4 linked regions of the Elephas maximus indicus genome follow. Each later gene encodes a partner of the first gene's protein in a complex. Links are inferred from orthologs where the notes say so. Each region holds a gene or a part of one and is shown in the gene's direction. Other genes may lie near its edges. The genes, in order: MEAF6, RUVBL1, MORF4L2 and KAT5.

What was found.
Region 2: MEAF6 (region 1) and RUVBL1 share a complex: the UniProt entries of both Homo sapiens proteins name them as parts of the nuA4 histone acetyltransferase complex. The link is inferred for Elephas maximus indicus from reciprocal best matches to the Homo sapiens genes MEAF6 and RUVBL1.
Region 3: MEAF6 (region 1) and MORF4L2 share a complex: the UniProt entries of both Homo sapiens proteins name them as parts of the nuA4 histone acetyltransferase complex. The link is inferred for Elephas maximus indicus from reciprocal best matches to the Homo sapiens genes MEAF6 and MORF4L2.
Region 4: MEAF6 (region 1) and KAT5 share a complex: the UniProt entries of both Homo sapiens proteins name them as parts of the nuA4 histone acetyltransferase complex. The link is inferred for Elephas maximus indicus from reciprocal best matches to the Homo sapiens genes MEAF6 and KAT5.

The regions. Positions count from the first base shown.
Region 1 is NC_064821.1:79,102,324-79,109,751, reverse strand, and holds the start of MEAF6 (chromatin modification-related protein MEAF6), read left to right. Parts: upstream 1-4,419; 5' UTR 4,420-4,481; coding exon 4,482-4,571; intron 4,572-5,823; coding exon 5,824-5,939; intron 5,940-7,428.
Region 2 is NC_064838.1:42,481,009-42,487,989, forward strand, and holds the start of RUVBL1 (ruvB-like 1), read left to right. Parts: upstream 1-3,978; 5' UTR 3,979-4,080; coding exon 4,081-4,221; intron 4,222-6,981. UniProt on the Homo sapiens protein: Possesses single-stranded DNA-stimulated ATPase and ATP-dependent DNA helicase (3' to 5') activity; hexamerization is thought to be critical for ATP hydrolysis and adjacent subunits in the ring-like structure contribute to the ATPase activity.
Region 3 is NC_064846.1:54,508,325-54,516,298, forward strand, and holds the start of MORF4L2 (mortality factor 4-like protein 2), read left to right. Parts: upstream 1-4,974; 5' UTR 4,975-5,065; intron 5,066-5,955; exon of another isoform or gene 5,956-6,149; intron 6,150-6,366; exon of another isoform or gene 6,367-6,531; intron 6,532-7,855; 5' UTR 7,856-7,945; intron 7,946-7,974. UniProt on the Homo sapiens protein: Component of the NuA4 histone acetyltransferase complex which is involved in transcriptional activation of select genes principally by acetylation of nucleosomal histone H4 and H2A.
Region 4 is NC_064825.1:128,857,519-128,864,931, forward strand, and holds the start of KAT5 (histone acetyltransferase KAT5), read left to right. Parts: upstream 1-4,396; 5' UTR 4,397-4,625; coding exon 4,626-4,803; intron 4,804-5,129; coding exon 5,130-5,198; intron 5,199-5,288; coding exon 5,289-5,425; intron 5,426-5,714; coding exon 5,715-5,870; intron 5,871-5,959; coding exon 5,960-6,034; intron 6,035-6,142; coding exon 6,143-6,217; intron 6,218-6,512; coding exon 6,513-6,761; intron 6,762-6,842; coding exon 6,843-6,932; intron 6,933-7,413. UniProt on the Homo sapiens protein: Catalytic subunit of the NuA4 histone acetyltransferase complex, a multiprotein complex involved in transcriptional activation of select genes principally by acetylation of nucleosomal histones H2A and H4.

The DNA.
Region 1 (7,428 bases):
GACCTTCAGGAGTGACTTTAGTACTGAGCAAAAAGTGTCTGGGGGCCATATTCTCAGGGTTTCTCCAGTCTCTGTCAGACCAGTAAATCCGGTCTTTTCTTGTGAGTCAGAATTTTGTTCTACTTTTTTCTCCAGCTCTGTCCAGGACCCTCTATTGTGATCCCTGCTAGAGCAGTCGGTGGTGGCAGCCGGGCATCACCTAGTTGTGTTGGACTCAGTCTGGTGGAGGCTGTGGTAGTTATGGTCCCTTCTGTCTTTGGTTTTCTTCATTCTCCTTTGCTCCTGATGGGATGAGACCAGTGGAGTATCTTAGATGGCTGCTCACAAGCTTTTAAGACCCCAGACGGTACTCACCAAAGTAGAATGTAGAACATTTTCTTTAAAAACTTTGTTATGCCAATTGAGCTTGATGTTCCCCAAGACTGTGGTCCCCAGCCCTCAGCCCAGTAATTTGGTCCCTCAGGGGATTTGGATGTGTCTATGAAGGTTCCAAGACCTTGCTTTGGTCAAGTTGTGCTGACTTCCCCAGAATTGTGTACTGTCTTACCCGCTACCAAAGTTACCACTCATCTATTGTCTAGTTTTGGAAACCCTGGTGGCATGGTGGTTAAGTGCTATGGGTGTTAACCAAAAGGTCAGCAGTTCAAATTCTCCAGGTGTCTCTTGGAAACTCTATGGGGTAGTTCTACTCTGTCCTATAGGGTAGTTATGAGTTGGAATCTACTCGATTACAACGGGTTTGATTTTTTTAATTGTCTAGTTAGTGTTTTTCCCACCTCAGGGCTCCCTTCCTAGTAATAAAGATCATTTCTTTCTGTGTGTAAACCTTTTCATGAGTCTTTATAATAGCAGCCTCATACAGTATTTGTCCTTTTGTGATTGACTTATTTCACTCAGTATAATGCCCTCCAGATTCATCTATGTTGTGAGATGTTTTGTAGATTCATCATTGTTCTTTATTGTTGCACAGTACTCTATTGTGTGTATGTGCCATAATTCTATCCATTCATCTGCTGACGGGCACTTAGGTTGTTTCCATCTTTTTGCTATTGTGAACAATCATTGTTTGATTTCTTGACTGCCCCTTCCATGGGTGTTGATTGTAGATCCAAGTAAAATGAAGTCCTTGACAAATTCAATATTTTCTCCGTTTGTCATGATGTTGTTTATTGGTCCAGTTGTGAGGATTTTTGTTTTCTTTATGTGGAAGCGTAATCCATACTGAAGGCTGTAGTCTTTGATCTTCATCAGTAGGTGCTTAAGTCCCCTTCACTTTCAGCACGCAAGGTTGTGTCCTCTGCATATTACAGGTTGTTAATAAGTCTTCTTCCAATCCAATCCAGTATAGTTCATATACTTCTCAGATTATTTGCTCAGCATACAGGTTGAATAATATCATGAAAGGATACAACCCTGACATGCAGCCTTCCTGATTTTGAACTATGCAGAATCCCCTCATTCTGTTTGAACGACTGCCTCTTAGTCTATGTTCAGGTTCTGCATGTGCACAATTAAGTGTTCTGGAATTCCCATTCTTCGCAATGTTATCCATAATTGGTTAGGATCCACACAGTTGAATGCCTTGACATAGTGAATAAAACACAGGTATTCTCTGCTTTCAGCCAAGATCCATCTGACATCAGCAACATCTTTTGTTTTACCTCCTCTTCTGAATCCGGCCTGTAAATACACTGCTGCATCCATTTTTTAATCATCTTCAGCAAAATTTTACTTGCGTGTAATATTAATGATACTGTTCGATAATTTATGCATTCTGCTGGATTACATTTCTTTGCAATGGGACAAATATGGATCTCTTCCTGTTGGTTGGCCAGGTAGCTGTCTTCCAAATTTCTTGGCATAGACAAGTGCTTCCAGCGTTGCATCCGTTTGGTGAAATATCTCAATTTGTATTCTGTCAGTTCCCAGATCCTTGTTTTTCACCAATGCTTTCAGCGCAGCTTGAACTTCTTCCTTCAATACCATTGGTTCTTGATCATATGCTACCTCCTGAAATGGTTGAATGTCAACCAGTGCTTTTTGGTACAGTGACTCTGTGTATTCCTTCCATCTTCTTTCGCTGCTTCCTGTTTTGTTCAGTATTTTGCCCATAGAATCCTTCAATATAGCAACTTGAGGCTTCAGTTTTTCCTTCAGTTCTTTCAGCTTGAGAAGTGCCAAGCATGTTCTTCCCTTTTGGTTTTCTAACTCCAGGTCTTTGCATTTTTATTATAATACTTAGAAATCTTTTCAGCTCTTTTACTTCATCATTTCTTCCATTTGCTTTAGCTACTCGATGTTCAACAGCAAGTTTCAGAGTCTCTTCTGACATCCATTTTGATTTTTTCTTTCTAATGACCTTTTGCTTTCTTCATGTGTCCTTTATGTCATCCCAAATTCGTCTGGTCTTTGATCATTAGTGTTCAATGCTTCAAATTTATTCTTGATATGGTCTATAAATTTGGGTGGGATATCCTCAAGGTTGGATTTGGCTTTCATGAACCTGTTTTAATTTTCTTCAGCTTCAACTGAACTCGTTTATGAGCAATTGATGGTCTGTTCTGCAATCAGCCCCTGTCCTCATTATGACTGATAATATTGAGATTTCCCATTGTCTCTTTCCACAGATGTTGCTGACTTGATTCCTGTGTATTTCATACAGCGAGGTCCAGGTGTATAGTTGCTGTTTATGTTATTGAAAAAAGGTATTTCCAATGAATAGGTCATTGGTCTTGCAAAATTCTATCATGCAATCTCCAGCGTCATTTCTATCACCAAGATCCTATTTTCCAGCTACTGATCCTTCTGTTTCCAACTTTGACATTCCAATCATGAGTAACAATGCATCTTGATTGTATGTTTGATCAATTTCAGACTGCTGAAGTTGGAAAAAATTCTCAATTTTTTCATCTTTGGCATTAATGGTTGGTGTGTAAATTTGAGTAATAGTCATATTAACTAGTCTTTCTTGAAGGCATATGATATTATCCTATCACTGACAGCATTGTACTTTAGGACAGATCTTGAATTTTTTTTTTTATTATGAATGCAAAGCTGTGCTTCAATTTGTCATTCCTGGCATAGCAGAGCATATGACTGCCTGATTCCAAATAATCAATACCAGTCCATTTCAGCTCACCAATCCCTAGGATATCTGTCATCAAGCATTCCATTTCATTTCTGACAACTTTTAATTTTCCTGGATTCATACTTCATACATTTCATGTTCCGATTACTAATGGATGTTTGCAGCTGTTTCTTCTTTGAGTCATGCCACATCACCAAATGAAAGTCCGGAAAGCTTTACTCTGTCCAGGTCATTAAGGTTTACTCTACTTTGAGGAGGCAACCTTCCCAGTTGTATTTTGAGTACCTTCTGACCTGAGGGGCTCATCTTCCAGCACTGTATCAGACAATGTTTTGCCCATTCATAAGGTTTTCACTGGCAAAGTTTTTTTTTAGAAGTAGATTGCCAAGTCCTTCTTTCTAGTCTGTCTTAGTCTGGAACCTGTGCTGAAACCTGTCCACCATGGGTGACCCTGCTGGTATTTGAATATCAGTGGCATAGCTTTCAGCATCACGGCAACAAGCAAGCCACCACAGTAGGACACACTGACAGATGAGTGGTGTACTGTATTATGTATGTTCTATTACTACCTCCATTTTACAGATGAGGATGCTGAGACAGTGAAATTTAGTTACCTGCCAGAGGTGGCACAGCTTATGAGTGGACAGGTAAGATTTTCAACCAGGTAGTTCTGGCTCCAGTTTGTGCTCCCTACATAATACTTGTTTCTCTAAAAGGGTAACAGGGCAGCCATTGAAAGATTTTAACCACAAGAATGACATCGGATTCCATTTTGAAAGATCACCCTGGCCTCACTGTGGACAATGGATTGAAGGAAGCTAAGAGTGGAAGTAAGGAGGCTATTGGAAAAATGTAGTCAAAAATAGGGAGGGCCTGGATGAAATGGGGAGGTAGCAGAGGCGATAGACATGTGAGTGGATTTGGGAGCTCTTCCAGGGTCCACAGGGCTTGGTTTTTGGATCAGATTAGGGGGTAAAGGGAAGGATGATACCCCGGTTTCCAATTCTGGCAACAGGAAGGAGAGTGAAAATCATTCACTAAGGTGAGGAACACTGGAGCAGACTTAAGTTTGGCTTGGGACGTAGTCACCTTGTGGTATCTCTAAACCCCAGTTGTCAACTGACGGGTAGAGCTGCGGCTAGGAGAACGACCAGAAGAAGCCCGGACCCCTGGACCCTTCCAAGCTGGGTTTGCGAGCGCCAAAGGGCCAGAGCACCCCAGGGCCAGAGCACCCGGCGCCGTGGCGCGCGGCTCCGGAAGCCGCGCGCGCAGGCGCAGTGCAGCGGCGGGCGCCCCCTCGCGGGCCGGCCGCGGCGCGCAGGGACCGCCCCCAGCCTCCCGCCGCCGCCGCCGCCGCCGCCGCTGCCGCCGCCGCCGCCCGCCTCTGCCCAACATGGCGATGCACAACAAGGCGGCGCCGCCGCAGATCCCGGACACCCGGCGGGAGCTGGCCGAGCTGGTGAAGCGGAAGCAGGAGCTGGCGGTGAGGGACTAGGGCCGGGAGCGCCCAGGTTGAGGCTTCGCGCCTGCCCCCGCCTCCGGGTCCCAGGCCAGCCGCGCCAGGCCGTTACTCCGGGGACGCAGCGCGGCGGGACGAGTCCCGGGACCTGGGACCCAGCTGCGCATTCCGCGGCCTGCGGCGGCTCCATTTCCCGGTTGCGCGGGTCCGGAGCTGGGCGCCGGGGCCGGGCCTCGGGGCCCGGGGGCGGGGCGCGGAAGCCGGGGAGGGGGAGGGGGAAGAGGAAGGAGGGGGGCGTGGAAGAAGGAAGCGGCCGGGGCTGGGGGAGGGTGCGTGGGACTCGAGAAAAGGCGAGTGTCGGTGAGCTCTGGGGGTGAACGCGGTGTGTCCGTGGCCCTTGGAGGGGCGAGGGGGGCGGGCGTCCCCTTGATGTTTGAGGAGCGGGGGGCGGGCGTGCCGGTGGGCTGTTGAGTGGTTGGTTCGGGCTTGTCCGTGGGCTTTGAGGGGGATAGGGTACGAGGCACATGTGGGAAGGACACCCAGTCTGGCCTTAGGACGATGATAGGGGGTGTGACCTTTTGGGGACTAGGAGTAGATCTGTTGGATGGGATTTTTGATGGGCAAGGGTTTGGTTTGTTTGGGAACGTTTGGAAGGTGACAGATGAGGGGAGACTCCGGCTAGGGAATTGGGAGTTGTGATATTCATCCAGGGTCCCCTGAGCCTTGGTGGATAAGACACTCCTCCCCGCGTTTTGGATTGGGCATGGGGGAGGCTCATCTCACCTGCAGCTGCCCTTCCAGGTTTCCATAGCAACCGGCAGCCTAGTCCTGGCAGCCTAGTGGGCTGGCGGCCTTTCAGAGCCTGCGGGGAGGGGAGGCGTTGGCGCTAGAAGGCTCTTCAGCCATCCTTCTCTCTGGTGATACCTTTTGTGCCTGAGAGAGGAGACTGCCCATGTTCTGCTTCAGCGGGGGTTTTTCACACCTGGGGTTCCATGAACCCTTTAATGTATATGCAGAATTAAGCATGTATATGCATTTTTCTGGGGACAGAGTCTGTATATTCCATTCTCTTCTCAGTGTGGTCCATTACCCCAAAAGGTCAAGACTGCCTTAGACCGTAACAATCTGCCCCTGCCATTATCCTCTTTCTCTCCACAAGGGTGTTTTACTGTAGTTGAGCTTAGGTTTATAAGTCTCATATCAAAATTTCGGTTTGGTCAGACTTAATGCGTGCTTTTAAAAGGCATTATCCATTTCCCTGTTTTTCATCTACCAGGAAACACTGGCAAACTTGGAAAGACAGATCTATGCTTTTGAAGGAAGCTACCTGGAAGACACTCAGATGTATGGCAATATTATTCGTGGCTGGGATCGGTATCTGACCAACCAGAAGTGAGTGTCAGCAGCTGTAGTGTTCTGTAATGTGCCCTAGTAATATTTGTTTTTAGGACTATATGTTTCTTGGTAGTAGCTTTGTGGGCAGGAGATCAGGACTTGAACTCTGGCTCAGCCTCACTGCCTCACTGAGTAACCTTGGACAGATTCTACATCTGTAAAACAGAGAAAGCCAGCCTATGGCACAGGGTTGTGTGCAGTGTAAATGAAATACAACATGGGGAATAGTGTTTTCCACGTTTTAATCAGTCATGAGTTCCACCTTCACAGCTTTTGCCATACCTGGGTGCACACTGTACCACTATTTATGTAATAATATTATTATTTAAAAATTTCCCAACTTTTCGAAAATTTTCAAATCTATAGAAAAGTTGACAGAATAGTACATAAGCACTGGCTACCCTCCACCTACATTCTAGCATGTTGCCACATTGGCTTTTTCTCTCTTTGTAACATATATAAACACATACCAGTACCAAAACGCCAAACCCATTGAGCTGATTCTGACTCATAGTGACCCTGTAGGACAGAGTAGAACTGCCCCATAGGGTTTCTAAGGAGTGGCTAGTAGATTAGAACTGCGGACCTTTTGGTTAGCAGTCGAGCTCTTAACCACTGTGCCACCAGGGCTTGAAATACATATCTATACATAATTTAAAACAACTTTTTTTATTTTGAAATAATTGGAGATTCACAGGAAGTTTCAAGATGGTAGAGGATGGTCTGGTGTACCTTCACCCAGTTTCCCCCAGCAGTTACATCTTATGCAGCTACATTATAATATCAAGACCAGAAACTGACATTGATATAATGTGTGTGTATAGTTCTGTAGATTCGTGTAACCACCAGCACAATCAAGATACAGAACTATTCCATCACCACAGAGATCTCCCTCATACTCCCTCTTTATCATCATACCCACTCCCTCCCCCGTACACTGTTTATTTCCTAAACCATTTGAAAGTTCAGTACAGATGTCATGGTATTTTGCCCATAAGTATGTCAGCATGTACTGCCTAAGACTAAGACTGTTTCTCCTACCTGGCTGCAATTACCTCACCTAGAAAATTAACATTATGTTAATAGTGTCATACACCGTCTTTATTTAAATTTCCAATCATCCCCCGAATGCATTGTTACTTTGTTTAGATCCTGAATCCAGTCAGTGTTTAGTCATTCCATTTGGTCATTGTGTCTATTTAGTCTGTTTTAATTTAGGAGAGTCTCTAACCCTTGGTTTTTGTTTGATGACATTGTCTTGTAGAATGCCCCACCTTCAGGATTTTTGTTACTGTGATCTCATGAGAAACTCATAAACATTCTTGGCAAAAATGCTGCATATAGGTGATGTTGTGTACCTCTTGTTTAAAAAAAAAAAAAGGCAAATCCCTTGCAGTAGAGTCGATTCCGACTCATAGTGACCCTATAGGACGGAGTAGAGCTGCCCCGTAGGGTTTCCAGGGAGCAGCTGCTGGATTTGAACTGC
Region 2 (6,981 bases), on another chromosome or scaffold:
ATATCCTACGGGGAATGATCAGGGAAAATGTATGAAAATACAGGAAAAAGAAGGTAATAGGTGGAGGTAGGCCTCTGAGAGGTGGAGGAAGTTCCAGGTTGTCGTCTGGAACCCAGTTAGTAGGGTTACTTTGGCCAGGAGGAAGGTCATACCTGCCTTTGAGACAGGATACAAGGAAAGTTCAGCAGTGCCTGGCACTTAGAAGCAGCTTAGGGTGGAGACTAGAAATTGTCTCCCAATCTACTTTTTCCCCTTTTACATAGGACTAGAATTTTTAGCTGGGCTCAAGTTGAAATAAAGACTGCATTTTCTAGCCTCCCTTGCATCTAGCTGTAGCCATTTGATCAAGTTCTGCCAATGGACTATGAGTAGATATGATGGTGCAACTTCAAGGTCAAGGGTAAACGGAAGGAACAAGTCCTCCATTTCCCCCATTCCTCATTCTTTCTGGCCCAAATACAGCCTTTTGGGGGAAGCTGGAACAACCATCTTGGATCACGAGATGGAAGGCATGTGTGGAGTGGTGCAGCAACAAGATAGAATGAGTATAGGTCCTTCATGATTGTGGAGCCAGCACATCAACTGGAAGGCCTTCCTGAACCTTACGTTTATGTTTAAGCTGCTATTGTTTTGGATCTGTTAGTGCAACAGAACTCATATCCTGAATAACGCAACCCTGGGCAGCTCTGAGGGCTCAGCTGAGGCCGGAAGCCATGACTGTGTAATGACTTCAGGGGGCCACTGGGTGATTTCCTCCAGCCATTCCCAGCAACCCCCTCAAGGAAGGGAGAAGACAGAGGTAGACTTGACATATGCTTGACAGTTCAAAGGGCAGGTGTGGCAGAAGTCAAGGCAAGGAGGGAGCAGAAGGGTTGGGAAGTGGATTGAAATGATGGAGTTTGGACTGGAGAAAATAGAGGTTGAGGGACTGGAAGTCAAAGAGCAAGGGTCATGGGAGTAAGGGAATGAAAGAGCTGGCAGGATTGGTTATCACATGGCACAATTTCTGGAACGTAATAGTCCACACACTTGCTTGTATATGTGTCATTGCACTCATCCGGATTTTCAGTGGCACTGGACAGAAATCTAACTCAAACAACCTTAGGCCCCAAAGTAAGTACCGTGTTACACTGCAAGTAAGGCAAGGCTGGATCCAGGGATGCAAAGGATTTTGTCCGGAATCCCTTTCTCTCAGCTTTGCTTTCCTCTCTCTTGTCTTCATTTTCAAGTTGGGTGTCTCCGTGAATTGGCAAAGACAGCTACTAGCCTGAAAACCCGTGTAGAAGAGAACATGTTTTTATATTTCCAGTAAGAGTGCTGGGATTTAGTGTCATTGAACCACTAGCTCACATTCCTGAATAGGGCCAGGGAGATGGGATACTCTGATAGTATCCCATCTGAAGCTGGGGCAGGTTGGGATCAGCCTACCCAAACTCCTTGGACAAAAAGTTGGGGAGGGGGGTTCCTAAAGAAAATTAGGGTACAGAGACCAGAACACAAGGTAATGGATGCTGGGTAGGCAGAAGTAACCTGTATCCACTACTGTGGGCTTCACCTGCTCTTCATATTCATTTACCTTGTGTATCTTAGGCTCCGGTCTGCCACATGGTCGTCTGTTGAAATGAAAATAAATGGTCTAACTCTGAAACCAGGTCTAGATCTTTTCACACTGGGAGGCAGAGATATGGGTTCTAGGCCTTGTGATTTGGGGCAAACCCAGGCCTCTCTTGGGTCCAAAAATGAGAATGCTAGTCCAGATCAGTGGTTTTCAATTTGTTGTCTAGGAGTAAATAGATGGAAAAGCTCTGGTGGAAGGGGGAGGAGGGCATGGAGCTATCTGCACTATCGGTCTTCCCCTTCCCCTCCCGTACTAGCCGAGAAAGAACTCTATAACTCTGGGGTCCCACTGGACCAGTGGTCCAAGGGATTCCTTTGAGCTCTAAAATTGAGCCTTAGTTCCACCAATATTTGACTGAAAGACAATCCTTCATTTTGCTTATTGACGCAGAGACAAAATTGGCGCTTAAAAGGATAAATGTAAAAAGATCTTCTCCCCCAACTGGACAATATGCAAAGAAGTAGTCTCACAGAGTACCTCACTCTGACTACTGCTTAGGGGAAAACTTCCTTCTCCAAAGGAACTGGTCCTCACTTAAGGGTAATGACTAGGAGTACAGCAATTAGACACTAAGCATCTTTGTGGGCTTTCTGGGGTGATATCCTTAGGGTTGCTGAATCACAGGCCAACAGTGACAAGCTCAGCCTTCCAAGGCCTCACCTTTGCAGTTTCAGGCTCTGAAAGTGCCAGAAGACCCCATTTGCTGGCAGAAACCATTACCAAGGGCCATAAAACCAAGTTTGTAAAATACATCCATCAAAATTGCATGAATTCAAGTGTGTGTGTGTGTGTGTGTGTGTGTGTGTGTATAGGAGGGGGAGAGGGAGGCTAGAACTTTATTTGAATTCATTCAAAGCCTTGATTGTAAGCCAGGTTGTATGCCAGGCACTGGGGTAAAATGATGGGCACACAAATGTGGTTTATACTCTCATAATGCTTAAGGTTTGGTGGCAGTGACAAATATTGACCCAATAATTATGCAAATAATTACAAACTTAGATTTGAAAATTATGAAGGAGAAGTACAAAGAGGTGTGAGATTTGGGGACTGCTACAGCTGAATTTGACTACAGCTCTCTTAAACTCAGGGAAGTGCTGCCCTTTTCCTGGACCTCAGTTTCCTCATCTGTAAAATGATGGCATACCATCTGCTTCTGAGGAAGTCTTACCCATTCTACAGGATTCAGCACTTCCCTGGGTCTCCAGGCTGTTCAGGAGCCCCTGCTCTGGGTTTGCATACCACCTGAGTTGTACCTGTCCCAGCACATCTCACTTCCCAAGCAGGGAGTAAAGTCCTTGGGTGTGATCTTGTATTTTGTCTTTATATCCCCAGTGCGTTGTAGTGTCTGGCTCACTGAAGGTGTTGAATGTCTGGTGCAGGTAGTGTTAATATCATTACGGAATTTGACAGGACATTCTCCCTGACCAATTGTCCTGGCTGAAGTAGCGGGGTGGGAAGAGGATTGCACAGGTTGAAATTCTGAAATCCTCAGCTGGAGTTCCAGTTCTGCCAATTATTTGCTGTGTTCTCGGGCAAGTTATTGGGGCTCTTTTAGCCTGAATCTTTTTCTGTATTAGGGGTGATACATCGCAGGGCTGCAGAGTTTTGCAAACTGCAAAATGTTACTCACCATCAACTTAATTTGAATAAAGGGGGAGGTGGAGGTGAGCAGAAGCAGAGGGAGACAATTTCACGGAGATGATCCTGAACAGAGATGCAAAGTAAAGTATGCATTACACCAGTTGCCATTGAGTAGACTCTGACTCATGGTAACCCCAAGTATGTCAGAGTAGAACTGTGCCCCATTAGATTTTCAATATAGGGTCGCTGTGAGTCGTGATAACTCAACTGCAATGGGTTTGTTTTTTGGTGGGATATTTAGGAAGCAGATAACCAGGCCTTTCTTCCCAGGAGCCTCTGGGTGGACTCAATTGCTACTCTTTTGGTTAGAAGCCCAGCGCTTAACCATTTGTGCATCTCAGGGGTTCCAAGCATGGATTAGGTGTCAGAAAACTGGATAGTAACCAAAAACTAAAGCTTAAAATCTGAGCCTCAATTTCTCTATCTCCAAAACGGGTACGAGCCTCGCATAAAGGTATGACGTTTAATTGCGACGCCGGGAGCCGAAAACCGCCAGCGACTACCGTACGCCGTGATAGGGTTACACGATTAGAACTGGCATCCGGGACCCAACTCCGGGTTCTTTGCACCTCCCGCCCCTGGCCTGGGCAGGAAGCGCCGACTGCCGGGGAACGCATCCAGCGACACAGCCGGAAGTGGATGGGCGGAGCCCCACGGGCAGCCCTGATGAGCCAATGGGAAGTAGAGGTGTATCCCACCTCCTCCAGTAGAGCGCCGACCAAGGCGGGCGCTTGCGAACCGCCCTAGTAACGGCCGCATGGTAACCCGAGCGCCTGGCGCGTGGTACTCGCTGCTGTTTTTCGACTCCCCGAGTCTGCAAGATGAAGATTGAGGAGGTGAAAAGTACCACGAAGACGCAGCGCATCGCCTCCCACAGCCACGTGAAGGGGCTGGGGTTGGACGAGAGTGGCTTGGCCAAGCAGGCGGCCTCGGGACTGGTGGGCCAGGAAAACGCGCGAGAGGTGTGGTCCGCGAGCCGGGGAGTAGACGGTGTTGAGCTGGGGGAGCTCAAGGGTTTGGGGGGCGCCTAAGGGGCTGGGCTGCGCGCTGAGGGTCTCGCCCGATATTTGCGTTAAGGGCTGTGGGTATAGGCTACGCGAATCAAGAGGGGCACGACACTGGGCTGGGAGAGGGACGGTCCCAGTAGAACCGGTAACAACTCTACAGGGGGACTGTTGAGTGTTAGATTCGACCCTTTGAAGCAGCACGTATTTGATTGAGCCACCTAATACGTGCCAGGTTCCATTCGTGACCCTGGGATACACCTGGAAACAAGATAGATAACGTTCCTGCTCCCGTGGAGCTTACAAGACGATAAACGTATAAACCAGTAAGCAAAAATTATTTTGGTAGGCAGAGGTCAGTTACTTCAGAGCTTCGTTGGCCATGGTGAGGAATTTGGATTTTATTGTGAATGCACTTGGAGGCTACGGATTTTTCTTAAGCGAGGAAGTGACTTTCCTTAAAAAAGTCCCTTTAGGTTCCTAAGGGCTGGGAGCTGAGGGAGGGAGTGGAAGTTATGGAGAGGAGCCATCTGGTTTATAAGCAAGCCCCTCCAGGCATCTCCTTTGACCATTATAACTAAGTCCACTTTTATTAAGTGGCTGTGATGCCAAAACCTTTCACTTAGCTCGTAATCACACACTATTCGAGCCCTTTGTTTTTTCTTCTTTTTTGGCAGATGGAAAAATTGAGGGCAGGAGAGGTCACTTCACCTATCCACTTGCCACTCAGCTTAGTAATGGTAAAGTTGAGATTGCACCCGAATGTATGTCTGACTCCCAAATCGGTGCTCTCTGATCACACAGCCCTCGTCTCAGCTTGCCTGCTCTAAGGTCATTGTCATGGCCTGGCAGCTACAAGAACCTGAACTTAAATATGAGGTTAAGAGGCTTGCTTCACAGCCTGATTGTGCTATAAAAGGGCCAAAGAAAAGCCTCTAGTTTCCATTTTGAGCATCATCTTTCCAAAAAGCAAACACTGACACGGTCAAGATGATTTTGAAACTTGCCTTTATCCAGCTTCAGCTTACTGAGGACTTGCTACTGCAAATAGCTAACATTTGTTGAGTACTTTCTATGTGCCAGGCGTTGTGCTGAGCAGTTTTATCTCCATTATCTTGTTTACCACTTCAAACCTAGTATTAATTGCCTTCCCTCCACTTTATTATGAAAAATTTCAGACAAAAAAGTTGGACGATTTGTACATTGAATACTATGTGCCTGAATTTTACAATTAGCATTTTACTATATTGCTTTTTCACACATCTGCCCATCCGTTCGTCTGTCCATCCACCAATCCATCTTTGTATTTCAAATAAGTTGCGGACATCTTTTAGCTTGTATGCCATTAACTATTAAGGACTCCGTTTTCAGAAAAGGAAATTGTGGTTCATAGAGGTAAATTATCTTGTCTGAGGTCACTACTAGTAAGTGGTAGAGCAAGGATTTAAACAAGTCTACCTTACTGCAGAATCCGTGCTCTTCACTGATGCATCATACCACTGTGACAGTAAGGACTAGTATTTATTACATACCCAGAACCTGGCTCATAGGGGCTCGGTATTTATTTATTGAATTAGTAGTTATCTGAAGACTTCTCTCAGCTACCTGGTCATATCAGCATCTTTCCTGGTGCTCAATGTCCACATCTGAAAAATGAGACCAGGTGATATTTTGAGGTTCTTCCAGTTCTTTTTAAATTTTAAGGTTCATTGAACATGTCTCACTGGAGAGAAACTGGAGCTTAAACTAAGGAAGATTAAATGGAAGAGGATCTAGTCTGTAAAGAAGAGTAGTATATACTCAGGATTTGGAAAGTCTTTCCCTTTTCTGTCTTTTTGAGTTTCCCAAAGAGCTCTGATGCTGAGGATTATGATATCACAGAATTCTGTGAACAGACCATAGTGGCTCTTTTATCGTCTTAGAAATACAGCATATGAAAAAGAGCTTCTAGGCTCTGTTAAGGGCACTGCCTTGCCAACTGAGCCAGAAATGGAATATAGCACACCCACACACATTCCTTGAACACATTTTTGGAGAGGACCAAGGTACTTCTCCATAGGCCATAGGGAAGAAAGAGACAAGAAGATGTGGACCCCATCCCAGGGAGCTACCTAGTGGTAGAGAAGAAAGGATGTGTTCTTGGGCCCTGTCAATACAGTACATGTGTGGTCACTGCCCAGAGAGAACTGTGGCCTTCCCTCAGACAAGGCAAATGAACCTTCTAGCCAGTCATATATTATGAATTCAGTGTGAGAAACCTGGTATCATGTAGTCCTTAGCACAAAACCAAAAACCAAACCTGTTGGAGCCGAATCAATTCTGACCTATAGCAACCCTACAGGGCAGAGTAGAACTGCCCCATAGAGATTCCAAGGAGCACCTGGTGGATTCAAACTGCTGACCTTTTGGTTAACAGCTGTAACTCTTAACCATTATGCCACCAGGTTTCCCCTTAGCATGAAGCCACCCTGTGAATGTGACTTTCCTACCTTTGCTCCTTTATAGTCAAATATTGTAAAATATATGATTGGTAGTCCATTTATAGAATATGTTTAAAGTGAACTAACACTAAGTGATAAAATAATTTACTCTTCAAGATTCAAAAGGCACTTGAAAGGAACTTGTGTCATAGGTTCAACTTCATATGCAGCGTTTCCATCTGCTGTGCAGTGTTCTGGGATGGTTTACTGATGGCCAGCTAGTAGTGTATGCCATTGA
Region 3 (7,974 bases), on another chromosome or scaffold:
CAGTCATTCGGGTTTCTGTTACAAAAGGAGAGAAGAGCTAGAAAAGAACAGATACCCCTAAAAGGATAAAGCTTCCTCGTGACTATTCTCATCTTTTGTTCTATCTGCCTTGGGCTAGCAAACCAGTCTGATCCAGACAAATTTGCTGAACTGGTTTTATGAAATCCCTTTGGAATGAGGCAGGTATAAACAGATAAACAAAAAAATCCTTAGTAAAGAAATACCATTTTGCTTAGCCTTAAAGTATTAGGTTTTGTTTTTGACTTTTAAGTTGACCAAACATTCTTTTTAAAATCATCTAATAAGCTAGTCAGAACCAAATGAGAGAATATATATATCGAATTAACCTTTAGAATGGACATTTCTCTCCTACCCACAGCCATGCGACGTGTGTTAGTTATCTAGTGCGGCTATAACAGAAATTTATTTCTTCACAATTTAAGAGGCTAGAAGTCTGAATTCAGGGCACCGGCTCTAGGGGAAGGTTGTCTCTCTCTCTGTTGGCTCGGGGAAGATATTTGTCTCAGCTTCCATAAGCCCCGTGTTCCTAGGTTCCTTGGAGATCCTCGCATGTGTTTCTGTCATCCCCACTTTATGCTTGCTTGCTTCTGTGTCTAACCTGCTCTTTATATACCTCAAAACTCATTAGGTTTAAGACAAGCCCTACACTGATATGGTCTCATGAACATAACAAAGAAAACCCTATTCCCAAATGGGATTACATCCAGAGGTATAGGGGTTAGGATTCCCACACATATTTGGGGTTGGGGGACACAATTCAATCCGTAACAGGACACTGGCATTCCTCCCCACCCTCCAGAACAGATCAACACTGCCTTCCAGACCTTGGAAGGCTCTCTAGGCAAGACAAGCAAGGCCAGCAGATACTGATGGGCAGGCTGCACACTACACAAGGGTGTCCAACTGAGAGAGCACAAGTTGGGGCAGAAATTCATCCTTTGGTGAAGACTGCAACATCGCAGAGAAAGAAAAGCATTTTTTAAAGTATTTCACTGGAGTGGATACCTTTTTGCAATTTATCTGGAGCCAGGAGGCAGGCACATGGTTCTAACTAGCACAAAGGTATTGTATGAGCTAATGGTGGCCTTGAAGATAAACACAGGGTGCTTGGAGCCATTGAGTGTCCTGTGAAGGCTGAGACCATAAATAGCTCTGTCTGGCCTTGGGCCTTGGAGCCAAACAAACATTAACCAAAGCTATCTTTCCTTTCCAGTTGAAAGGGACTGTGAAGACAGTTGTTCAGCTGTAAATTCAAAAGGAAGAAGAGTAAGTTCTATCTTCCGAGGATCTACTAAGAATCGGGAATCTGCTGAAGCTTTTTCCTACAAGTAAGTGGAGGGTGCCGGATTGTATTCACTTTTGAGAGGGTAACATGGCATAATGGGGAAAGCATGGGCTTTGGAGTCAGATGAAGGAGCCCTGGTTGCCCAGTGGTTAAGCACTCAGCCACCCGCTCTGCAGGAGGAAGATGTGGCAGTCTGCTTTGGTAAAGATTGTAGCCTTGGAAACCCTATGGGGCAGTTCTACTCTGTTCTATAGGGTTGCTATAAGTTGAAATTGACTTTATGGCACTGGGTGGGTAGGTTTAAAGTCAGACAGAGAAATCTGAATCTTTGTCATTTACTATCTGAGCAACTTCAGGTAAGTATTTAACTTCTCTGGGCTTCAGTTAGGATTCACTAAGATAACAGATATCAAGAGCTGAGCCTAGTGCTGCCTGGCACGTAGGAGGCATTCAGTTCCCATGCCCTTCTCTGCTACCACCCTGACTCCAAAGTTAACTCATGTCATTCACACTCTTGGCCTTGAAACTTCTCCCAGTAAAGCATAAAGATGGGTCTGCTAGACAGACCTACTGGAGCAAGAGTCAGGAGATGTGGGCCCTGGTGCCAGACACATCCTGTTATAGTACTTTGGGGAAGTTACTCCTCTCAGCTGACCACCTTAATAAAACAGAACACCCCTAACACCTCCGAAAGAAAAAAGCAGAGGAAATCACTTTTCTTGGGCACTTGCCATGAGGAGTGCACTGTGCTAGGCCCTTTTGTTGTTGAGGAAACCCTTGTGGCACAGTGGTTAAGTGCTATGGCTGCTAACCAAAAGGTCGGCAGTTCAAATCCACCAGGCGCTCCTTGGAAACCCTGTGGGGCAGTTCTACTCTGTCCTATAGGGTCGCTATGAGTCGGAATTGACTCGACAGCAATGGGTTTTGGTTTTTGTTGTTGTCGTTAGCTGCTGCCCAGTCATTTTCAACTCATAATGACCCCATGTGACAGAGTAGAACTGACTCATAAGGTTTCCTAGGCTGTCACTATGAATTGGAATCAACTAGACAGCAACCCGTTTGTTTTTTTTTTATCTTTACCAGACCAGATCGCTAAGTCTTTTCTCCTGTGGAGCTGCTGGGTCGGTTCATACCGCCAACCTTTCGGTTAGCAGCTGAGCACTTAACTGTGACCCCACCAGGTCTCCTTAGTCCCTTTTACATACTTTATATTCTCTAAATCAGTGCTATCCAATAGAACTTTCTATGATGGTGGGAATGTTGTATATCTGCACTGTCTAATACAGCCATTGGCTACTGTGACTGAGGAACTAAAGTTTTTAGCTAATTCATGTAAATTTAAGTAGCCACATGTAGCTAGCGGCTACAACACTGGATAGTACAGCTCCCTGGGGGACATAAACATTTAAGCGCTTGACTTCTATCCAAAAGGTTGGCTGTTCAAACCCACTCAGAGATGCCTTGGAAGACAGGCCTGGAGATCTGCTTCCGAAAGATCACAGCCTTGAAAACCCTACGCAGCAGTTCTAGTCTGCACACATGGGGTCGCCATGAGTCGGAATTGACTCGACAACAACAACAAAGATTATGAAGCACGAATATTTTTTACCATTTAATCTATGGTAAAACTGAGACTCAGAAAAGTTAAAGAACTTGTTGAAAGTCACTTAAGTATTAAGTAATTAAACCAGATTCAAAACGTAGGAGTAGAAAGCTTAGTAGGGTAATAAGGTTAGATATACCTAGTATTATCTAGGTTCCACCATTTACAAATTGTATGACTGAGTAAAAAAATATCTGGAACTCACTGTCATCATCTATAAAATGATGACAGACCTCTTGTTGAAATTAATGGGTATAGATCTATATAGTGGGGTCCATACTAGGCTTTCGAGAACTTTTATTCCCTCAGCACTATGATTCCTCCCTTACACATGGAAGAGATTCAGACATAAACTAAAAAAGAAACAACTTCAGGGTAGACAGAGCATTTGGGAAATACAAAAGCAAGAAGGGAAACACTCATGAGCTTTTATGTGATATCCAATTATAGAATGGAGATGGAGAAGGGTATAAAATCATCAAAATATCTCCATTTAATTGATCTGCTTCCCTGCCCTTCCTTGTCTCTCTAGTTAACATTAGCCAAAGTAAGGAAGAGAGAAAGTATTTGTAATGTGTTTTGAGGCCCAGAGACAAGCTATAAATTGAACAATAATGTTAAGGGCTAGGATTGAGAGGCAGATACAGTTCAAATCCTGGTTCCCATATCTGTTTGTGCACTTGGGGAAATAATTTGACACCTCCTGACGGCACTGGGTTTTTTTTTTTACACATTAGTTCCTAATCCAGAGTGTCTCAATAAGCATAAAAAAATTAATTGTTTATTATCTTGCGTTAAATTCTGTAGCACCCTCTAGTGGTATGTGCAAAATAAGCATTGCATTTCTGCCCTCCAAAGCGCTGGTTCTCAAATTTTAGTGTGCATCTGAATAACCTGGACAGCTTCTAATAATACAGATTGCCAGGCCCCACCCCAAGAATTTTTGATTCTGTAGGTTTGAAGTGAGGAGGCCTGGTGGCTCAGTGGTTGAGTGATTGGCTGCTAACCAAAAGGTCGGTGGTTTGAACCCACCAGCAGTTCTGCGGTAGAAAAGACCTGGCTATCTGCTCCTGTAAAGATTTCAGCCTGGTAAACGCTATGGGGGCAGTTCTGTCTTAAAGGTTCTCTATGGGTCAGAATCGACTCAACGGCAGACAACAGGGCTGAGTGGGGCCTGACAATCCGAATTTCTAACAACTTCCCAGGTGATGCTAAAGCTGCTAGTTCAGGAAACATACTTTGAGAACCACTGCTCTAAACGACCCCGGACCGACATACACACATAATGTATATATGATTGATAACTCAAAGAGGAATGATTTTTGTTGTTGGATTTTGATTTTGTAGTACCCACCTAAAAGGGATTTTATGAGGAATAAATGAGAATATCCATGTGAGGTCAACACCGCATCTAAAATATAGAAAGCATGCAAAAAACTGAGAATCACAGAACATAAATCATTTGCCCAGAGTCACAGGGCTATAAAGTGGTGACATAGAGATTAAAAGGTCTCTGGCTCCAAAGACATAATAAAGTTTAGCAGTACCACTGCACATACACACGTGTGATAAAATTGTCATGAGAAAAGATCAGTTTTCAATGCCAGATCCAAGTTTTACCTCAGAGTTTTTAATCTATCTTTACGGACTAAACAGCCCTCTGTGTACTGTTTTGGGGGGTTGTTAACATTTGAGAAGAAGGTGAACAGAAAGGGTAGAATCTTCATCAGCATCAGTGCCTAGTATCATTCATCACTTCCCTAAAAAAAGAAGGCATGGAAGAAAGAAGACAGAGGAATGAGGAAGGAAAAAAAAATTTTAAGGGATGAGGTAAGAAGGAAAGAAACAAGAAAAGCATTTGGATCTTGGGCCATGGTCCCCTGCCTATTAGGGCCATTTACAGAGGTTGGCTTCATTTTCCCCCTAGAAACGAAAGAAAGATATACTCACTGGAGATTGGAGAGTTCAGCAAATCAGAAACACGGGAGGACAAAATCCCATAATTCCAGGGACCAAATAGCCAATCCTTTGCTAGGATTTGGCGACATCTAGTGGCCGACTTGAGAGGTATAAACCTCATCCAGAGAACTTTCTGGAAAATTAATTGTGTGTGTACTCGCTTGAAGGGCACTGTGCTTGGTGGTCAGGACAAAAAGGTAAGAGTTCCTCAGCCGCCACAGAAATTTACGGTCCTTCGTGAAGGGAGAGGCAGTCGTATATTGATTATCCCAGCAGAAAATTATATTTGTACTAGGGGAATTGCGTGCAACTTTGGGGACGAGCGGGGCTAGGGGGCGGGCAGGGAGAAAGGGGTGGGAATGGGAGAGAGGGGCAGGGAGCAGGGAGCTGTCCTGAGAAGGGGGGAAAAGGGACGGGGGACACAATGGAGAGGGGGAAAGGGCGCGAAGGGGGGGAAGGGAGAGAAGAGTCGAGGGATGGGCGGGAGGCGGGGGAAGGTAGGGGGAAGGGCGGGCGGGGATGGGAGGAGGATATTGGGGAATATGAAAGGAGCTGCCCCTTGGAGTTGCTAATAGAGGAACGGGAGGGTTTGGCTCTTGTGCAATGGGGAGATGTGATTTAGAGCAGGATTTTGGCACCGAGCAAAACGTGGAAGGGTCTAAAATTGAGTCAATAGGAGAAACCAAAATACTTCATATAACAGAGGCCCTTTGTTATTATCCGCTTGACTTATTTTCCTTTTTTTTAGAACAATTTTCAAACATACAAAAGTAGAGAACAATTGCTATAATAAACACCCACACACTTATTACCTAAATTTAACATAGTGCAGCTCACCTATAGGTAAACACACACACACTCACACCAACCCCACTCAGGGACACACACCGTGCCCCAAAGCTAAGGGCGCAGGCTGGCGCACACCCCCAGGCCACGCGAGCTCGCCTGCGCGCGCGCGCACACACACAGGCCCCAACGACACGCGCCCGAGCCACCCGCCGCCTCCACTCACACGCATATTAAAAACACCCCCGCCTCCCCCCCCCGAGTTGCGCAAGAGGTTGGGGGGCGTGGCCCCAGGTTTGACCTCGCGCTTCCCCACCGGCGGGAACCTTAGCTCATTTCCGCCGTCCCGTTTCCGCAGGCCACGTAGACACTTCCTTTCCCAGTGTGGCGGGGGGGACCCATAATGCCTCTCTAAAGAAAAAAAAAAAACCTTCTGGTCAAGGGAACTCTGGGTCGTGAAAATAGGCCACGTGAACACTGTGCTCTATAGACTTATGACCCAAAGGCTGTCGCGCTTTTGGAGGGTGGGCTAAGAACCTAAGAGGGCGAATGTGATTGGCTGCAGCTCACAGTAAAGAAGGAAGGTGATTGGTTTGCTCCGAGCCTTAACCGTGAAGAAGCAGGTTACTAGCACCCGCCTTTACTGCGGCTAAGTGTCACTGCTTACGTGGTAGTCCTCGTCCAATCATTTGGTTATAGAACATTCTAAAACTTAGACAAGACGAATGTGATTGGCTGAAGGGCATAAGCCCGCCTTTAGGATGACGTGTCTGCCTATGGATATCAGTTGCCAGAGAAACCTGGCTTTACTATGGCGGTTGGAGGAACGGCAGTGATCACACGTCGGCTGTTGGGAAGAGCTGGATTCTCGTTTCAGGTTTCGGGGTGGGGGTGGGGAGGAAGGGTTGGTGATTTCCCTTTATCCTGTGTATGTATAAGGTATATATATACACATATACAGACAGAATCAGCTACTGGCTTTACAATCGGTCAGAGCTGGTTCAAATTCCTGCTCGCCAACGCCCAGCTCGGGCAAGGCTCCGATTCTTTCTGTATCTCGGTTTCCATGTTTGTAAAATGGTGATAATAATAGTATCTACCTCAGAGACGTGTACGAGGGTTAAGTATGATAGTGCGTATAAGGCGCTCAATACGAAGCCTGGCTCTTGTAGATATTATTATTACTATGGAGATAAAGCCTCACATAACAGAATGAGAAAATATGTATTATGTAAATTCGCTCATTATAGTGCCTTCCCTGCCCATCAACTTCCCTCGAAGAAATTAGAGATGTAAGAGGCGTAATTGTTATCGATGAAACAATACGCCGAGATTTGCTTCGGAATAGGATTGAAATTTTCCAAATTGAAAAGTAAAAAAAAAAAAAGATTGAAAACGAGAGCGAGCTGGAGATCAACCACATGCGATGAGTAGGCCTTGTTTGGTTTCTGATTTGAACACAACTGTAAAACGTTGTTTAAGATACATAGGGAAAATTTGATCACCGACTCGATGTTTTATGGCTTTTAAGAAATTTATATCATTTTTTAGGCGTTATAATGATACTGTGGTTATGGTTTTAAATTTTCTACCTTGTAGCGATATCGACTAAAATATTCACAGATTAAATAATATAATGTCTGGGATTGGCTTCGAAATACGTTGACGACTAGGATTTGCTTCAAAATAATTTCTGCGAAGGGGAGAGCGGAGAGGGCTGTAGATAAAACAAAATTGGCCTGAAGTTAAAAATCGTTTAAGCTGACTGTTATTACTCTGTCTATCTTAGTGTATGTTTGAAATGTTCCATAATGAAATATAAAAAATCAGCTATTTGGTGCTTAAAAAATTGGAGGGGGGGCAGTGGGTGGGGTTATAGATGAAACAAGATGGCCTTCAGTTGGTAATTGAAGCTGGGTGATAGATTCGTGTGGGTTGGTGATACTATTCTATCTAAATTTTTGTCCATTTGATTTTTTTTCCTTCATAAAATGGTTTTTAAATATTAGTTTGTTTAAAAAATAGGTTAAATGTACATGATTTGAAAATATAACCACAAGAAAGAAAAAAATATTTGTGCATATTTATCAGCTTTGGTGTTCTTTGTGTGTGATAAAATGCATTGATTGATGGAAAAGAAAACCGTGGTCTGATATCTTTTTATTTTATGTCCTTTCCTGTCCCCTTCTTTGACCTTCTAGGTCATCATCAGAAAAGCTAAGTTAGTTGCACAGTAAGGATCAGAAGATCTGATCCTGATTACAGAACCATCCCTCATTACAGAATCTTGGGTAAGTGCTTCCCTTCTCCTGGCCTCAGT
Region 4 (7,413 bases), on another chromosome or scaffold:
GTTTTATGGGCCTAATATTTGGCTGAAGGATGAACCTCAGGCGCGACTTTGGTACTGAGCTAAAAGGGTATCGGGGGCCATACTCTCACGGTTTCTCCAGTCTCTGTCAGACCAGTAAGTGTGTTCTTTTTTTGTGAGCTTGAATTTTGTTCTACATGTTTCTCCATCTCTGTCCAAGACCCTCTATTGTGATCCATGTCAGAGCAGTCAGTGGCAACAGCCAGGCACCATCTCATTGTGCTGGACTCAGTCTGGTGGAGGCTGTGGTAGTTGTGGCCCATTAGGCCTTTGGACCAATCTTTCTCTTGTGTCTTTAGTTTTGTTCATTCTCCCTTGCTCCGGACGGGGTGGGACCACTGGAGTATCTTAGATGGCCGCTCACAAGCTTTTAAGACCACAGACGCTACTCGCCAAAGTAGAATGTAGAACATTTTCTTTATAACGGACATGCCTTTTAGACCTCCTGAGTGGGCAGCGAGAGTCTGGAGTTCAGGAGAGGTCTGGGTTGTAAATAAAAATTTGAGAAGCCTCAGCCCATGGGTGATATTTAGGCATGAACTTGGGGATCACCAAAGAAGTGAATATGGATAAAAAGATGAAGTCCAGGGCTAAAACTGGCACATGTGAACTGTCTTGACCAGCTTATACACAGTACAAACTGTTGTGGAATTTCCCAAAAGGGAAATTTTAAATGATTGGTTGTCATTCACTTAGCCGGTAGGAGGCAGTTTGACTTGCTTTATTAAGTATTCACGTATGCTATGGCCTAACGAATGAAACTGTCTTTATCACAAGTTTTTAGTTTCAGTGAATGGCTAAGAGTTAAGTTGAGACAGGTAGGGGGAGCATTTTCTTTAACAGAATGTTTAGAGGTCAGAGACAGGAAGAGAATCCAGTAAGACGATGAGCAGCCGGGGAACTAGGAAGGAAATGAGGACGGTCCGGCGTCTGGAAGCCAAGAAAAGAGTGTTTCAAGGGAGAGGAGTGACCAATGATGTCCAATGTCACTAATAAGTAGACTGAGGAACGGCCATCGGATTGAGAGTGTGGAGGTCAACATGGAGTGGCAGCAACTGAAACTGTGTTTACCGCATACGTAGTGTGCACAGACATTTCCTGACCGTTATCAGCCAGTGAAAAATCAATTTCAACAGTCTTCTGCTTGGTATCCTGTTCTTGTCTTAGCCCCTCCAATCCAAGGACACAGCCACCAGGGTGGTCTTTCTAGAATGCAGATATAGTCATTCCCCATTAACATCTTCAATGTAAGTCAGGCCGGGGTGAATACATGGAAACTCGCAAGTATACAGATGCTCACTCTTTGCAGTGTTGTAGTAGCAGGAAATTGGACACAACTTGAATGTCCAACAACAGGAAATTGGTTATGGCAGCTAAGGTGTTTCTAAATGAGGAAACATTATATGGCCATTAAAATACTAGAGAATATTTAATGACAAGCATTCAATTTATATTGCTGAGTGAACAAGCTGATCGCAGAACAGTATACGTGGTAAGAATCTATTTCGTGTCAAACAGATATAAGCACAATAATCTAAAACAGGTTGGCAAACATTTTTTTGTGTAAAGGGATGTGTGGTGGTGTTACAAGAGCTTGTTGTCGTGTTGCTGTTTTTGGTAAATGCTAGGTAGCTAACATTTTAGGCTTTGTGTGCCTTACTATCTCAAACGCAACTACTCAGTTGTAGCACAAAAGAAGTCAGAGGCAAAATGTAAACAAATGAGTGTGACTGAGTTCCAGTAAGACAATTTACGGACACTGAAATTTGAAATTCATGTAATTTTCACGTGTGACAAAATAGCCTTCACTTTTCCCCCCATTTAAAAACGTAAAAACTATTCTTAACTCCTGGTTTGTAGTGGATTGGATTTGTCATAGTTTGCCAACCCCTTGTCTAGTAGATATTCAACCAAAACGCTCACTGTGAGCAAGGTTACAGTACCCACTCCCCCACCCCCACCTCTTACTATGTCTGTTTTTTTTATTAAGTTTGCACACATTCTATAGGCTAGTTATGACTTACCTAATTATTTAAACTTTCCCCAAAACTGCCTTTATCACAAGTTTCCAGTTTCAGTGACGGTCTGAGAGTTAAGTTTAAATAGGCGGGGAGGGCAGCATTTTCTTTAACAGAATGTTTAGAGGTCACAGACAGGAACTTAACCCAATAAAGACGATGAGCAGCCAGGGAACTACGAAGGAAACGAGGAGAGTCTGGCGTTCTGGAAGCCAAGAAAAGAGTGTTTCAAGGGAGACAAGTGACCAATGATGTCCAATGTCATCTTTCCCCCCAAGTATACGCATGACTCACCCTCTTGTTCCTTTAAATCTCTGCTCAAATAATACACTCCAGCCAGGCCTCCCCTGCACATCGTATTTTAAATTGTAACCTGCCTACCTGTATCCTACCCATGTATCCTGCTCATTGATTTTGCTTCCCATAGCACGCTAAATTTGCTTTTCTAACTATGTGTATCATTTACTATCTATACCACTCTTTTCCCTCTCAGTCCCCAAGAAGGTAAGCTCCATGAGGGCAGGATCTTTATTTTGTTCACTGATGTATTCCAAGTTCCGAGAATAGTGCCTAGCACATGGCAGGGCTCACTTAGTATTTGCTGGATGTATAAAAGGATTGAAAAAAAAAAACAACAACACAACCGGCTGCTGTCAAATGAATTCTGACTCACAGTGACTCTACAGGACAAAGTAGAACTGCCCCATAGTTCCCAAGGAATGCCTGGTGGGTTCGAACAGCTGACCTTTTCGTTAGCACCCGTAGCACTTAACCACTATGCTACCACGGTTTCCATGAAAGGGTAATAGATGTATTATTTAAAAAATCAGAACCTAATAGACAAAATCAAAGCAAAATTTTACTTGTGTGTGATATTAATGATATTGTTCGATAATTTCCACCTTCTGTTTGATCACCATTCTTTGGAGTGGGCACAAATATGGATCTCTTCCAGTCAGGTGGCCAGGTAGCTGTCTTCCAAATTTCTTGGCATGTATGAGCGCGCACTTCCAGCACTGCATCCTTCTGTTAGAACATCTCAATTGGTATTCTGTCAATTCCTGGAGCCTTCGCCAATGCCTTCAGGCAGCCTGGACTACTTTTTTCAGTACCATCAGTTCTTGACCATTTGCTACCTTCTGAAATGGCTGAACATCAACCAATTCTTTTGGGTATAGTGACTCTGTATGCTTCTTCCAACTTTTTTGATGCTTCCTGCACCATTCAATATATTTCCCATAGAATCCTTCAATATTGCAACTCAAGGCTTGAATTCTTTCCTTCAGTTCTTTCAGCTTAAGAAATGCTGAGCATATTCTTCCCTTTTGATTTTCTAACTTGAGGTCTTTGCACACTTCATTATAATACTTTCCTTTGTCTTCTCCAGCCTCCCTTTAAAATCTTCTGTTCAGCTATTCATTTCTTCCATTTGCTTTAGCTGCTCTATGTTCAAGTTTCAGAGTCTCTTCTGACATCCATTTTGGTCTTCTTCCTTTCCTTTTTAATGACCTCTTGCTTTCTTCATGCTGCAAAAAGACCTCTTTAAAGTGTTAAAAAGATGCCAGTTTAAGGATTAAGGTGTGCCTGGCCCAAGCCGTAGTGGTTAAGTGCTACGGCTGCTAACCAAAGGGTCAGCAGTTCGAATCTGCCTAGGCGCTCCTTGGAAACTCTATGGGGCAGTTCTACCCTGTCCTATAGGGTCGCTATGAGTCACAGTCGACTCCAAGACACTGGGTAAGTATGACCCAAGCCATATTTTCAATCACCTCACAGGCATGCATAAAGCTGGACAATGAATAAGGAAGATCAAAGAAGAATTGATGCCTTTAAATTATGGTGTTCGTGAAGAATTAAACATACTATGGACTGCCAAAAAATAATGTCTTGATAGCACAGCGAAAATGATTCTTAGAAGGGAGGATAGCGAGGCTTCATTTCACATACTTTGGATGTGTTATCAGGAGGGACCAGTCCCTGAAGAAGGACACCATGCTTAGTAGACGGTCAGCAAAAGACAGGAAGACCCCGAGCAAGATGGACCGACACACTCGCTGCAACCATGGGTTCAAGCATATTAAACTTGGCCCGGTATTCGGGCCCTGCAGAGTTTGAGCCCCACCCACTCATCCAGCCTCCCAAAGTACGTATTATTCTGTCCTGCAGGCCCGCCCCGCCGCACCGACCCCGCCCCCCACCGAGCACGCGCAGTTCACTCTCCGCGACTTCTCCTGCTGCCACCAGGAGACGCCCGTGCACGGCCACAGGTAAAAGCTCAAAACACTCGTCCCACGTGACCCGCGCCTCATCCACATGACCAGCGTCGCACCCGGTGGGCGTCACGTGACGGACTCAGTTTTCCTCCAATCATTGGGCACGGGATGGAGAGGCCACCCAGGAGCCGGCCCGAGGCTTAGAAAGCCCCTTTCTCCAGCCAGCTGAACGGGCCGGCTCCCTGCTTCCAGCCGGGCGGTAGCATCCCTCAAGGATCTCGCTTCTCAGGTGGCTTCGCGGAGCCCGGGCCTGCAGCTCCCTCAGCCCCGGAAGTGACGCCGCCCAGAGGAGCCGGAAGTGGCAGTGGAGGGAGGGAAGATGGCGGAGGTGGTGAGTCCGGTGCCTGGGGCGGGGCGGAGGGAGCCAGGGGAGGTGGGTAGGGCCCGAGGCCCCCCAGTAGCCGACCCTGGCGCCGCGCTGTCTCCCCAGGGGGAGATAATCGAGGGCTGCCGCCTGCCCGTTCTGCGGCGGAACCAGGACAACGAGGATGAGTGGCGTGAGTGACGTCGGGAGGCGGGGCTAAACAACCTGAGGGCGAGGGGCGGGTCGGATCAACCGAACCCCCGGGAGGGGGAGGGGCCACTGGAATCTTGGGGCGGGCGGGGCGCAGGCACTCCGAAGGAGGGGCGTGGCGTGTAGCTGCTTGAGATGGACGGGGCGGGGCTTGGAGAAGGGGTGCCATTTGGAGACTAAAGGGGACTTGGGTGGGAGCTTCCAAGTGCTGGGACTAGGGGATCCGGGCTGGGGGTGGAGTTCAGGTCGTGGCAGGGTGGAGCTTCGTGGCCGGGCCCTCTAAGGCTCCTGCCTGTGCTATTCCCGCAGCCCTGGCCGAGATCCTCAGCGTGAAGGACATCAGTGGCCGGAAGCTTTTTTATGTTCACTACATTGACTGTGAGTTCTGGGACCGGGTGAGGTGGGGCTGCGGGTAGGGCTGGGGAGCAGCCTCTGGCATCCCTTCCTGAGCCATCCCCATTGCTGCAGTCAACAAACGTCTGGATGAATGGGTGACCCACGAGCGGCTGGACTTAAAGAAGATCCAGTTTCCCAAGAAAGAGGCCAAGACCCCCACCAAGAACGGGCTTCCTGGGTCCCGCCCCGGCTCTCCAGAGAGAGAGGTGGTGAGTAGGTCACCTGCTTCTCCTCTTCTCTCCTGCCTCCTACTGCTCTTGTCTCTTGGCCTCAGGGGCTCCTGGATGGGCAGGAGGCAGTAAGCCTCTCACCCTGGCTTCAGCCTGCAAAGGACGGGGCCACATTGCAGTCATAGCTTCCAGAATCCAGTGGCTATTTCTATGCCCTTGAGAGGGCAGAGGGTGGGGTTTGATCACTTGGTGCTGAGGGCCCCCTCCTCCCCTGCCCCATTCCACCACCATGGCAACCCAGAGGAAGACCCTGGACCTATTTCTACAGCCGGCCTCCGCCCAGGCCAGCGGGAAGACCTTGCCAATCCCGGTCCAGATCACACTCCGCTTCAACCTGCCCAAGGAGCGGGAGGCCATCCCCGGTGGCGAGCCCGACCAGCCGCTCTCCTCCAGCTCCTGCCTGCAGCCCAATCACCGCTCTACGGTACCCTCAGCAATTCCAGGGACCTTGCTTTACTCTCAGGTCCCACGTTCTCTACCTTCTGACCCACCTTTCTTGGTTTCTCTCTGCAGAAACGGAAGGTGGAGGTGGTTTCACCAGCAACTCCGGTGCCCAGCGAGACAGCCCCAGCCTCAGTTTTTCCCCAGGTGAGTACCCCAAACTATCCCTTTTTCCTTTTCTCTCTTTTATCGTTTGGTAGCCCTTTTAAGGTTATGTCACATTCGGCTCTTCTATTCCTACTGTTTCATTTGCAGAATGGATCAGCCCGTAGGGCAGTGGCCGCTCAGCCAGGACGGAAGCGGAAATCAAATTGTTTGGGCACTGATGAGGTGGGTCTGGGGAGCAGAGGAAGAGGAAAGCTAGGGGTAAGGGAGGGCATGTGGGCAGGGGGAGTTTAGTGCCTAGTTTAAAAAGAAACAAGGGAGGGCTAGGTGGCAGTGGTGTCTGATATCTGCAGCCAGGTGTAGAGCATGTTTCAGACCAGTCATTTGGTGATTTCAGGGTCTCAGTTTCTTCGTTTGGAAAGTGGGATTATAGTACTTTTTTATAGTGTTGCTGTGGAAGCTGTAGTGTCCTGCTTGAGTCATCTCTCGTAACCTGGTGTTTTCTACTGGCCCTGGGCAGGACTCCCAGGACAGCTCAGATGGAATTCCATCGGCACCACGCATGACTGGTAGCCTGGTGTCCGACCGGAGTCACGACGACATAGTCACCCGGATGAAAAACATCGAGTGCATTGAGCTGGGCCGGCACCGCCTCAAGCCGTGGTACTTCTCCCCGTACCCACAAGAGCTCACCACGTTGCCTGTCCTCTATCTCTGCGAGTTCTGCCTCAAGTATGGCCGGAGTCTCAAGTGTCTGCAGCGTCACTTGGTATGAGGGGCCCCAGGAGGCTGCTCTCCCAGCACCTCGTCCTGCCCCCACTCCTGCTTCTGACCCTCCTTTCTTCCCCAGACCAAGTGCGACCTGCGACACCCCCCAGGCAACGAGATTTACCGCAAGGGCACCATCTCCTTTTTTGAGATTGATGGCCGCAAGAATAAGGTCAGCAACTGAGGAGCAGTGGGGTGTCCTTGGAGCTGGTGGCCTGGGACACAGGAAGTTGAGCAGTTTCTTCCTGCTTAGGAAAACACTCACCAGTCTGGCCAACATGTTGGTTCAGCCCATTTTTATTGAGTACTAGTAGTGCTGGGATGTACTAGGATGACCAGAAACTAGACAGTCTCTGCTGAGACCCCGTGGCCCATGGGAAAGTCCTGCCAATGGCCTGTGACATCCCAGAGTGACAAGTGTCATGAGTCCAAGGGTGGGTTACCAGGACCCTAAGGAGGTAGTCCACAAAGCTTCACAGTGGTGATCTTTGACGTGAGAGGATTCTGAGCAGTGAGATGCTGAAAGGCAGGCCTGCTGTACAAGGATGGTGTGTGTGAAAAGCTGAAAGGCAGGGAAGATAGGAAGGTGCAAGGCTCTTAGAAGGGACAGAGTTTAGGTGGTGGAAACAAGGTCAGTAGGGGTAGCAGGGGCA